Linked DNA regions of Arabidopsis thaliana. The protein of the gene in region 1 interacts with the protein of each later gene in a pairwise test. Each region holds a gene or a part of one and is shown in the gene's direction. Other genes may lie near its edges.

Region 1 (7,616 bases):
CCTAAGATAAGATTACTTCAAGTTCAGGTCTTTCTGGACCAGTATAGAGATCCACGGTCTCGCTTTTTCTTCTGGAGCTTGGATAAAGGTACCTAAATTGGGGGAAGATTTAACACGCCAGAGAGTCTTTGATCAGAAAGGAAACTTAGATTGTAAAGCTTGACAAGTTTATAGATATATATATATATATATATATATATATATGTAAATTAATGTATGTTTCTCTGAGATTGCTGCTATATTGGGTAGAAACGTGGTAAGAGCTGTTGTTGTATTTCCTTTGTGTATTTTCAGTTTATATGGCAGAAAAAGAGAAGAAATCTTTCTTGTTAATAGTGACTTTGTTACTACATGCAACAACTTAAAAATATAGCTCAAGCAATGTGATCATGACAATAGAGAAGCAAAGGAATCATTGATCTTCAAGTTTATCATTTCATTACACTCAATAGTATAAAGATTAAAAGCAGAAATGGGAACTTAGGAGGAGGCTGCAGTAGCAGCAGCAGCTTGCGGTGGCGGTGGTGTTGGTCGGAGAGTGATCTCAACCTTATCGTGAACGCCTTGAAGCAAAAGTTCACCTTCAAATGCGACTATTTTGCGTTTCTTGGCAGCTCTCAGAGTCCCAACCAATGCTTCAAAGATGTTGGCACATCGATCGTCATTGAACAACACTCCAAACGTCACCTGTATTCAAAAGGAACAAATCAATCCTCATGATCAAGAATCAATCAACTGTGTTTGTTAGATCTGAGCGAGAGAAAAGAGTAAATGTTACGATCTTGATTCTTCAGATAAGAGTATTTGTTGATTGAAAATGAAATAATACAGATTTATTCCAGATATAGGGAGATCCAACAAGATTTGAGGAGAAAGAGAGAGACCTTGTAAGAGCCATCGGTCTGACGAGAACCAAGACGATGGATCTCTTCTTCCAGTTTCTGAATCTCTTCGTCTACGTTCATTCTTTCTTCTTCCTTAGAGATTTCAGGTCTCAACAGCCTAATGTTGTAAAAAGATTGGATTGAAGAAGAGACTCTTTCTGTTTCTGACGAAGACAGCTCGATGGACTCATTCTTGTCCCTCCTAATCCGGTTGAAAAGACCAAAATGCGCACACTTAACCGGTTTGAAAACCTTATCGTACCGATTTTTCTTCAACATTGAAAATTAACACACACCTCCGGTTTGAGACCTTAATAAATGATACGACATCAGCCGGTTTACCACGATTTTAACATTCGATTTTTCTCTATTTTTTTTTTCTTTTAGTTTATCCATACAAAAAATTACTGATGAAATAGCAAAAGATTGCGTTTAAGTTAACAACGAATATTTAAAGACAGAACAGAACTTCAGTTCCTCACTAAAACTGTATCTATAGATTTTTTCTAAACTTATTTGATTAATAAAAGCACAGGCTAATATTAGAAAGAAAAAAAGTTTTTATAAATTAAAAACTAATGTAATTAGGTAAATGAAAATGTTTATTCGCTTCTTTTGGACCATGGAGATTAAGGTGAAATTATTTAGTTGTTATCATTATAAATTAACAAAGGTTAAGTGAATATAAAATTAATTTGAATTATTTTGTTAAGTTGTGATTAAAGTTCAATTTCTTCTTCACGTTTTTAAAATTCTTGAGCAAGTAAAAATTATTTAGCGACTCTAATAAAAAGATCCTCCTCTCTTCGATAGAGATAGAGCTAAGCACGAAAATCCCGAGTAATTGACCTTCTCTTCTTCCCAGTGTTGTCTTCTCTTCTCCACGAACTTAATTTTTTCAAAACCCTAGCAACTTTGATTCATTCAAAATCCGATCCAACGATGACTATTGAAGAAGTTTCCGGTGAGACTCCTCCGTCTACGCCTCCTTCTTCTTCTACGCCTTCTCCGTCTTCCTCCACCACCAACGCCGCGCCGTTGGGATCCTCTGTGATTCCGATTGTAAACAAGCTACAAGACATATTCGCTCAGCTCGGAAGCCAGTCTACGATCGCGCTTCCTCAGGTTGTTGTTGTTGGAAGCCAAAGCAGTGGCAAGTCTAGCGTCCTTGAAGCACTCGTCGGCCGTGACTTTCTCCCTCGTGGTAATGATATCTGCACGCGTCGTCCTCTTGTTCTCCAGCTCCTCCAGACTAAAAGCCGCGCTAATGGCGGATCCGATGATGAGTGGGGGGAGTTTCGTCACCTTCCTGAAACTCGTTTCTATGATTTCTCTGAGATTCGTCGAGAAATTGAGGTTTTTTATTCCCTTCCTTGCTTTATTTGATACTCTATTGCTCTTCCAAGTTTGTATTAATGTATGAAATGCAACATCTTTGTAGGCTGAGACGAATAGATTAGTTGGAGAGAACAAAGGTGTAGCAGATACACAGATTCGTCTTAAAATTTCTTCACCTAATGTATTGAACATCACGCTTGTGGATCTGCCTGGTATTACCAAGGTGCCAGTTGGTGACCAGCCATCCGACATTGAAGCACGTATAAGAACGATGATCTTGTCTTACATCAAGCAAGATACTTGCTTGATATTGGCTGTTACCCCTGCTAATACCGATCTAGCAAACTCTGATGCCCTTCAAATTGCTAGCATTGTAGATCCTGATGGTAAGTTCTACTCACAAGTCCAATGACTAGTTTAATGGGTTGTATTTGACATTACTCATCTTCACCCTTTCATCTATCTATACTGTCTCCAGGTCACAGAACGATAGGTGTAATCACAAAGGTGCATATTCCCAGTCCAGACATTTGTTTTATTTCATCACCATAGGCGTCCCTGTCTTTCATGTGATTTACTATATGTTATTATCATGTTTTCAGTTGGATATTATGGACAAAGGTACTGATGCTCGAAAACTCCTTCTTGGAAATGTTGTTCCTCTTCGACTTGGATACGTGGGAGTTGTAAATCGTTGCCAGGAGGTAAACCTGTGGTTGCTCACAACTATTGCTTTTTAATTTATTTAGTGTGGCTCTTCTTTTATGTGACTTGAGCTTTATTGCTTCTGTTCTGTACTTATTTTTCTTATGATTCTCTTGCTATCATATAGTAGGCTGTCTCTTCTTTTTTTTTTTTTTTTTTATTATTCTACCTTTGGCTGTGCTTGTTTTTTAATTCTAATTTTATCACTTCGATGCTATTGTGACAGAATTTTTATTTTTTGTCTACTTTTTGTGGCGTCTGCATCTACAGTGTTTTGATCTTTATATTTTATAAACAGGATATTTTGCTAAACCGCACAGTCAAGGAAGCACTTCTCGCAGAGGAGAAGTTCTTCCGGAGTCACCCGGTATGCTAACATCATTTTGTTGATTCACTTTCTGATACTCTTGCTATTTTTTCTGATTAAAGCTGAGTCTTTTTGGTACCTATACAGGTTTACCATGGTCTTGCCGATCGTTTGGGTGTTCCTCAGCTAGCAAAGAAGTTAAATCAGGTATTTTCTGCAGTTATGGGAATTGGGAGTTCCTTTTTTCGTTATGTCAATCATTGTTCAGTAAGGCATAAGGGAGACGCTTTCTCTATGTTGAAATATCTAATATGGGATTATGGTGGAGTTTAAATGCATTATTCACTTTTTAAGGTTACTTACATGGCTGTGCGGATTCTACCCTAGCTTATTTTTTTGGCCTTGCATGTATATCTTTTTTTGTTTACAGACTTTAAGATACTTTAATATTAGAAAATGTCTGATAGAAGATGGCCTTTCTGTTGCATTTTTTTAGATCCTTGTTCAACATATCAAGGTCTTGCTTCCGGATTTGAAGTCGCGGATAAGTAATGCTTTGGTTGCTACAGCAAAAGAGCATCAGAGCTATGGTGAATTAACAGAATCAAGGGTATGTATTTTACTGCTCAATTTGCCATCTATTTATCGAATTCATTGTTTTGTTATTGGCTTTGGTACATTGCCATTTGTTCCATTTAATGGTGTGATTTGCTCAGTCTTTTCATTTGAATACAATTTTGCTCGTCCAGACTATTTTCTCATGTATGTGCTCAGGGTTCGTAAAGCCTTTTTGTTTTTAGACTACAAAAAAAATATCTTTAAGTCGTAGAATTAGCATTTAAAGGTGTTCTTATTTGTAGGGAAAGGTTGTTGGCCAATGGGTACTTCTTTTTTAACTTTTTTTTGCTTCATCTCTATGAGTTGTTTTTCTTTTTCAATTTTTAACTAGTCAAACTTATCTTATTCTATTGGTCTTTACTGTCCTTGAAATTCTTAGGCTGGGCAAGGAGCTCTTCTCCTCAACTTTCTCTCCAAATACTGTGAAGGTAATATGTGAAGACGATATTTCAGTTGAGACCATTGACATTTGTTTTATGTTTTCTATGGTTCATAGTGAGTCTCATGGGTAAATTTTTTTGAACAGCATACTCTTCATTGCTGGAAGGGAAAAGTGAAGAAATGTCTACGTCAGAGCTCTCTGGAGGAGCAAGAATTCACTATATTTTCCAGTCAATCTTTGTTAAGAGTTTGGAGGTTCGTTTGGGCAATCGTTAAACTTTTTTCCTTGAGCTTGAACAGTTGTTATACATTCCCGTTTCTTAACCTCGCCAATACTTTTGCGTACTTTCGGATGGTACACTGATGTTTACGGTTCATTTCATTGACATTGATAGAGAACTTTTACACTGCTTTGTTAAGCATTGGCTCCTCTATCTTATCTTAGTTTAGCTAGTGACATTATCCAAATGGAAATAATGTAGTATATTTCTGACGTTGAGCTCGTGGATCTCTGTAAATTTAGACTGATTGAATTCCTTCACATTGCCTCTTCAGGAGGTTGATCCATGCGAGGACTTGACAGATGATGATATTCGGACTGCAATTCAGAATGCAACTGGTCCAAGATCTGCATTATTTGTTCCAGATGTAGGTTTCTTAACATGTTTCAGCATATATGGAAGTTATCCTGGTTGTCAGGGCTTTCAAGCATTCATATGTTTCCTTGCCTTTTCCACTTCCCAGGATATCTAATTAGAGTCCCTTGATCTCGTTCAATTATGCATAGGTTCCATTTGAAGTTCTTGTTAGGAGGCAGATATCTCGTTTGTTAGATCCTAGCCTTCAGTGTGCCCGGTTCATTTTTGAAGAGCTAATAAAGGTGAGTGTTTTTTTGGTTTGTTGTTAATAAGTAATAAGATTACTTCATAAATTTGAATTTCTCTACAGATTAGCCATAGATGTATGATGAATGAGTTACAACGATTTCCAGTCCTACGAAAGCGCATGGATGAGGTTATCGGGGATTTCCTGCGAGAAGGTCTTGAACCCTCAGAAGCAATGATCGGGGATATCATTGATATGGAGGTCTGTATAATGAATTGAAAATCCTACGTTGAGTTGAGTTTCTCTATTGTGTATAAAGAGCCCAGACTAATATGTTGGTTGATTAGGGACCTTTTTTAATCTTGAGCAGTGATTTCCTCGTTTTTGATTGATTAGTTTCTTTGAACTAAAGTATTAGTGATGGTATCATAATTTCTTGAATGTCGTTTGCAGATGGATTACATAAACACTTCACATCCAAATTTTATTGGTGGAACCAAGGCCGTGGAAGCTGCAATGCATCAAGTGAAGTCTTCGAGGATTCCCCATCCTGTGGCACGACCAAAGGTATGAAGTACTCTGAGCAAATACATTAAAATTGGTTTTGGTTTCATATATACTCTGCAGTGTTTCTTATACATTTAAGTTGATATAGCAGGACACTGTGGAGCCTGATAGAACATCTTCTTCCACGAGTCAAGTGAAATCTAGATCGTTTCTCGGCAGGCAAGCTAATGGAATTGTTACTGATCAGGTATTGTCATTTTACATGTTATATATAATTAATTCTGTATATCATTGTGCACTATGGGTTTAGCCCTAAGGACCCATGAGCAAATTAGACATTTTCAAGATAAAGAGTGACTATTTGACACTTAACTCATGATTGTTCATAGGGAGTTGTATCTGCAGATGCTGAAAAAGCTCAACCTGCTGGTAATTTTCTCACCGCTGTCATTTTTAGCCTTCCATTTCGTGTTTTGGAAGATTTTTGGCTGTGTGATGAATCTCTTGCTATGTTTCAGAGACTGCGTAAACATGTATCTTGTCTCGATTCGCTAATAGCTTATAATCCTGAGTAGATTTTAATTGTGGTTTTGCTGACACATGATAGCAAATGCGAGTGATACAAGGTGGGGTATCCCTTCAATTTTCCGAGGGGGTGATACTAGAGCAGTTACTAAAGATAGCTTATTAAACAAACCATTCAGTGAAGCTGTTGAGGATATGTCTCACAACTTATCCATGATCTATCTAAAGGAGGTGTGTCTCCTGTGCCATCTTAGATGATTCATATTGCCAATACATGCTTACCTATTTGACTCATACTGTTTGCTTTGCTTTTCTGAAGCCCCCAGCTGTCTTGAGGCCAACCGAAACCCATTCAGAACAGGAAGCAGTTGAGATTCAGATAACAAAGCTGTTACTAAGATCATACTATGACATTGTAAGGAAGAATATTGAGGACTCGGTACCAAAAGCAATCATGCATTTCCTGGCAAGTACCCTCATCCCTTTCCCCAAGTTTCTTGCAGTATCTCAAACTTGTACGATATATCATCACCTTGATATTTGATTGCCCTTTGAAATTGTCTTTTGAGAGAGTTAAAATGAAAAGCCGTTTGTCCATCTTGTGTGTAATAATCTTGTTGCTATCTTACAGTAAATAAACTCTGAAGAATGAAGATGCTGATACCATTTCTTTTCTTTTTAATGCTTCAGGTAAACCACACAAAACGTGAGCTGCATAACGTCTTCATCAAGAAGCTTTACAGGTGATGCCTGTGTTTTTTAATTCCTCACATCTGTGTTTGGATTAGTAGTCTCTTAAAACTGACTAGTAGTTTCATCTGGTGCAGGGAGAACTTGTTTGAAGAAATGTTGCAAGAGCCAGATGAGATAGCAGTTAAGAGGAAACGCACACAAGAGACTCTCCACGTTCTTCAGCAAGCTTACAGGGTATGTTCTCAGCAAAACCTAACTCTGTACATCAATCGTCATAAACCTTGTTCCGTTGAACAATAAAGTCTTCTTTTCACTTAAAACTGTTTCTATGAAGAATTTATGTTTGATATTCATGTAACCATGTGGTCTTTGTGGGTGAAACAGACACTAGATGAGTTGCCACTGGAAGCAGATTCGGTGTCAGCAGGAATGTCAAAACATCAGGAGTTACTGACATCTTCAAAGTATTCGACAAGCAGCTCATACTCGGCATCTCCAAGTACGACAAGAAGATCGAGAAGAGCAGGAGATCAACACCAAAATGGATACGGATTCTAACATGATCCAAATATCTCGAATATCTCTCGACTGTGATAACGCATTTCATTCATTTAATGGCTCTTTCAGGTTTTGGTATTAAATTATGTGTTGGTCATATGAAGAATTTATATAGGAAACCAGTACACAGTGTGGGTTTTGGTCCTTTTGGACTCTGCATTGGTTGACTTGATAAGGGAGTGAAAGGTGATATAGTTTTTTTTTCCAATTTGTTTCAAATGCTCCCCCTGCAACAATAACGGGAAGCAAACACCTTTCACTCTAAATTTTTTTTT
Region 2 (4,595 bases), 5.2 Mb from region 1:
GAGGAATGAAGGAGAGAAGATCACCAAGGTGTAGAAATTTCTGAAGTCGTCTCCTCCAATCTCCACTATTGGTTTGTTCAGAACTTGAGAAGGCCTTAGATCCAAGCCATTAGTAACCTCTCTATGGCCATAAGTGACCTTAAGAGAGACCAACCTCGTGAAAGGATCAAGAACATCTCCAACAACACTGCCGACCACAAGAGGATCTCTACGACTTAAAGACATATTTATCTTGGATCTCAAGTATCTCAATCAAATGTTTTGCTTCTTACCTTATGAACCCTTACTTGCTATTCTTTATATAACGTTTTGGGAATTGCAATAATTAGCTATTTAGCTTTATTCTCTCCAATGAAATCATTACCAGGGTCTTTTCGTGTATAGTTTCGAGAATCTACAACTCGTTCAACGTACGTATATCACTTATAATTCATGTTTTTTTTTTCTTTCCTTTTTTCTAAATTTATAGTATTCTTATTCCAAAACCCACCAGTATAAAACAGAAATAATCATATTCCAAATTATACATCATCCACTTGTTTCTTGCTAGCCACTAGTATGTAATTTATTCTGACTTATCATTGTAACTTCATGAACTATTTAAAATAATGTCACAAGCATATAATATGCTGCATATTTGCGTACGTCACGCATTTTGCGTCACATGTCACTCATTTAAATAGTTAAGGACACTACATTACACCGATTATGTATGATGTTAATGCATTTTAGAATAACTCCTTCAACCTAAACCATCATATAAAAGTATATATGCTCCAGATAAATTGACGCCATAATTGTTCACATATCTGGTTGGTGTGTACATACGTACTAGACTCTTTTTTTTCTTTTCTTAATGTAGTACTAAACTTAATTAATACCATCAAAAATATCAATTTAACAAAACAAACCAGTAAAACTTTTAAAACAATGGAGTAAATCAAATAAAACAAGTAAATTAACAAATAGACACAAGGTAACAGAAGTATAATAACGACAGAAAAGTGAACAATTGGCCAAAAAATTCGTTTTCAAACGTGATTTCAAAATTGTCTCCAAATCTTAAATGTTGATAAAGTAATTTTTTTAAAATTCATTATACCTTTCAAAAACAAGTGTATTACCTAAAAGCTCAACCGTGTATTCTTACACTCCAAACAAATTTAGTTCCCCAAGTTTGGAAGACAAAAATTTCTAAGAAATTTCTGACAAAACACATGAGAAATAAACCGATAAAGACTTCTAAAAACTATTGCAGACCAGTTTCATTTGCTGACCACAAAAAGTCATGAGAATACAATTAGCTCAGTGATTCTTGATATTTCTGGTACCTAACAAAAAGAAAAGTGTGTGAGGTTAGATGGCTATGATTTTTGCTCTCCAATTTATTGTCCATTTCCCCAATTTGTAATATGAAATGCGCAAATTACTCTTCTTCCGATATGAATAAGCAAACGAAAACATACGTGGGACGTTATGTTCAGAACATTTGATTAAAGTTTATATGCGATTTTCATTTATTTATTATGAATTTTTTGTTTGGCAGCATGTACGATTTTTCATTTAACACACAAATATTATAGAATTTTCATTGGTTCAAAGGGGTAGACAAAAAATAATTTAATATTATTACACCATTTGCAGAAAATTAGAAAATATATTTTTACCCATAATTAATTGATCTATGGACGTATGCTTGGCATAAAAATTCATATTTAATTAGCAGAAGCCAATCGCTGCGTTTGTATATACGCGTTTATGACCGAGAAAAAAACCCTTACGCGTCATGTAAAAAAAAAAGAAGCGTAAATTACGAAAAACAGAGAGATAAATCCGGGCATTGAGATTTTGGAGATAGAGAGAGAGAAAAATCGAAATCTATTGTCTATCTCCTCAATTTGGATTGGATTTTCTGCATATCATCGCTCTAGCTTTCGCGGGTTTTGGATTCGATTCCTTACCCTTCTCCAATCGGTAAGAACAAGCTCCAAAGTTTGTTCCTTTTTTTCAATTTTCGCCAATTCTGTAATCTCATCATTGTCCTTGTTTGTTTGTTTGATTCAACACACAATTCTTGTTTTGATTTGGATGCAGAAGTTTTTGGCTTTGAATTGGATTTGGGTTTCGTTCCAAAATCAGCTCTTTTTGTTAATCAGGTGAGTTTTTAGGTATTTGAATCTCCAATTGCTTCCTTGCAATGACTAAGTATTGTGAAATGTTTAGGGTTTCATCTGTGTGGGTCTTGTTTTGAAGCAATTTGTGTGTGTTTGGATGAAAGTAGCAGATATGCAGGACCAGCTGGTGTGTCATGGTTGTAGGAATTTATTGATGTATCCTAGAGGAGCATCTAATGTGCGTTGTGCGTTATGTAACACTATCAACATGGTTCCTCCTCCTCCTCCACCTCACGGTATCGATTTCTTTGTTGAATTTGAATTGAGGATGAGGTTAATATGCTCTGCAATTGTATTATAACTTGGGTTCTGATTCTGAATACAGACATGGCACACATTATATGTGGTGGTTGTAGAACAATGCTTATGTATACGCGTGGGGCTAGTAGCGTAAGATGCTCTTGCTGTCAAACTACGAACCTTGTGCCAGGTATATTAATAATATCGTGACATCCATATCAATCCTTTTAAAGACCATGTATTATATTGCTTTATAAGGTCTTTTAGTCCTTTAGAATCTTCTTTCACACTTTTGTTTGATAACATTGTTCTGTGGAGATGATGCTTACGTAACGTATTTCCACTTTTCCCAAAGATGTATATGAATCTGAATTCTGAAAATATCTGGGATTTGTAAAGCAGCTGAAAGTACTTAAAACAAAGCTTTTAGATGGTCCCGGTGGACTAGGTAACTACTTGTTAGAGCTAGTAGGGTTTATTATTGTTTTGTTTGATCTACCATTAGATTCTTATCTTTAATTAGCGTCTAAGCTGTTGTCATTTAGCTGTATGATTATCATTTATCCATGACTGCTTAAGAACATTGCTGATTACTTCGTTCATTAGTATTTCTTGGATTTTTCTAGCATTAACATTGCTTGTTTTCTGAATCTGTGCGTGTCTTTTTTGAAATCGACAGCGCACTCCAATCAGGTTGCCCATGCTCCTTCCAGTCAGGTTGCGCAGATCAATTGTGGGCATTGTCGGACGACCCTCATGTATCCTTACGGTGCATCATCCGTCAAATGCGCTGTTTGTCAATTCGTAACTAACGTTAATGTGATTATTCCTATCTATTAAGCCACCTCTGCATGGTTGAGTTAAGTATAGAGATCTTTCTGTTGGAAATTTTCATTTCTGATTCATTTTGCATCCTTAGATGAGCAATGGAAGGGTACCTCTCCCAACTAACCGGCCAAATGGAACAGCTTGTCCCCCCTCTACATCAACTGTGAGTTATCAAATTATGAATTTGTAATAGTTCTGTATATTCTTATGGAACTGGTACTTACTCTGTTCATCGATTTTTCATTTTACCAACAGTCAACACCACCCTCTCAGACCCAAACCGTTGTTGTAGAAAACCCCATGTCCGTTGATGAAAGCGGAAAGTTGGTGAGTATTTCTATCACCTGTGTTCTTCTTCTTATTTACCACATTAGAGGAAGATATGACAAAGTGACTGAAACACACAAATTGCAGGTGAGCAATGTTGTTGTTGGAGTGACAACTGACAAAAAGTAATCAAGAATGAGTGAGATCTTAAAGATCAAATCCAAATTCTTCCTCTATTCCTGCGTTTGGTTTGTGCATATTACATACGCGGAAAAACTGTATGTTATATATCTCTTGACTCCTTTTTAACCCAAGAGAAAAAGCTTATCAGAATCTCTTGTTACTGCATTATTGGGGTTTATTCAAAGTTGAAGACACAAGGTTTTTGCTCGAATAATTTGGCATTCTTTTGCTCCATGGAACTTGACCTTCTCTTCTGTTTGTTGACTTCTAAAACTCCATCGGCCCTTGTGGCATTGTTAATGTATGTATGAATATAATCTGATACACCAACCAATCATTAAGATTTGGGTTTGAAATCTGTCTCTTCCGTGGATGAGATATGCTACATGTCACAAGAACTGGTCTTAGCTTTGGTAGATAAGACTTGTCTTAGAGCAAGTCTTGAAATCTGGAAATCTATTTTGCAGTAATCTTGTCACAACAACCATAACCTAATCAGTCAGTACCCTCCAAGAACATTAAAGTTAGATGATCCGACAAAACCTCTCAACAAGACCAAACTCTTTCCATATAAATACTCTTTAACACTGACACAAAGTTTCATCACTTTCTCTTGATCACTCACTGCATCAACAATGGCCAGAGAGAAGATTGTGGTGGCTGGTGGTACCACAAAGAGCTGGAAACTACTCTTGGGGCTGAGAATATTTGCATTCATGGCTACTTTAGCTGCAGCCATTGTAATGTCACTAAACAAAGAGACAAAGACCTTGGTTGTGGCCACCATTGGTACTGTTCCTATTAAAGCCACTTTAACCGCTAAGTTTCAGCACACACCGGCTTTTGTGTAAGCGAGTAAAACCCTATACGAAATCGATTCGATACATATTGAAAGCAAAATGT

The links.
Region 2: the proteins of DRP3A (region 1) and LSD1 interact in binary tests that used the Arabidopsis thaliana proteins (3 or more experiments, as listed by UniProt).

Annotation. Positions count from the first base shown.
Region 1 is NC_003075.7:16,159,247-16,166,862, forward strand, and holds the start of DRP3A (dynamin-related protein 3A), read left to right. Parts: upstream 1-1,577; 5' UTR 1,578-1,826; coding exon 1,827-2,240; intron 2,241-2,325; coding exon 2,326-2,608; intron 2,609-2,700; coding exon 2,701-2,729; intron 2,730-2,824; coding exon 2,825-2,926; intron 2,927-3,225; coding exon 3,226-3,294; intron 3,295-3,381; coding exon 3,382-3,441; intron 3,442-3,730; coding exon 3,731-3,844; intron 3,845-4,231; coding exon 4,232-4,280; intron 4,281-4,378; coding exon 4,379-4,488; intron 4,489-4,788; coding exon 4,789-4,881; intron 4,882-5,020; coding exon 5,021-5,113; intron 5,114-5,181; coding exon 5,182-5,319; intron 5,320-5,511; coding exon 5,512-5,625; intron 5,626-5,713; coding exon 5,714-5,812; intron 5,813-5,954; coding exon 5,955-5,994; intron 5,995-6,172; coding exon 6,173-6,321; intron 6,322-6,409; coding exon 6,410-6,556; intron 6,557-6,780; coding exon 6,781-6,833; intron 6,834-6,917; coding exon 6,918-7,017; intron 7,018-7,167; and 2 more. Other genes in the region: AT4G33640 (costars family protein), read right to left, coding at 481-687, 885-1,163. UniProt on the Arabidopsis thaliana protein: Involved in the control of mitochondrial and peroxisomal division and morphology. In association with PEX11C, PEX11D, PEX11E and FIS1B, is involved in cell cycle-associated constitutive self-replication of preexisting peroxisomes.
Region 2 is NC_003075.7:11,002,741-11,007,335, forward strand, and holds LSD1 (LSD1 zinc finger family protein), read left to right. Parts: upstream 1-1,776; 5' UTR 1,777-1,974; intron 1,975-2,094; 5' UTR 2,095-2,156; exon of another isoform or gene 2,157-2,271; coding exon of another isoform or gene 2,272-2,286; coding exon 2,287-2,410; intron 2,411-2,499; coding exon 2,500-2,604; intron 2,605-2,689; coding exon 2,690-2,721; intron 2,722-2,816; coding exon 2,817-2,862; intron 2,863-3,093; coding exon 3,094-3,233; coding exon of another isoform or gene 3,234-3,254; exon of another isoform or gene 3,255-3,333; coding exon 3,334-3,405; intron 3,406-3,497; coding exon 3,498-3,569; intron 3,570-3,656; coding exon 3,657-3,698; 3' UTR 3,699-4,048; downstream 4,049-4,595. Other genes in the region: TSF (PEBP (phosphatidylethanolamine-binding protein) family protein), read right to left, coding at 25-225; AT4G20390 (Uncharacterized protein family (UPF0497)), read left to right, coding at 4,328-4,539.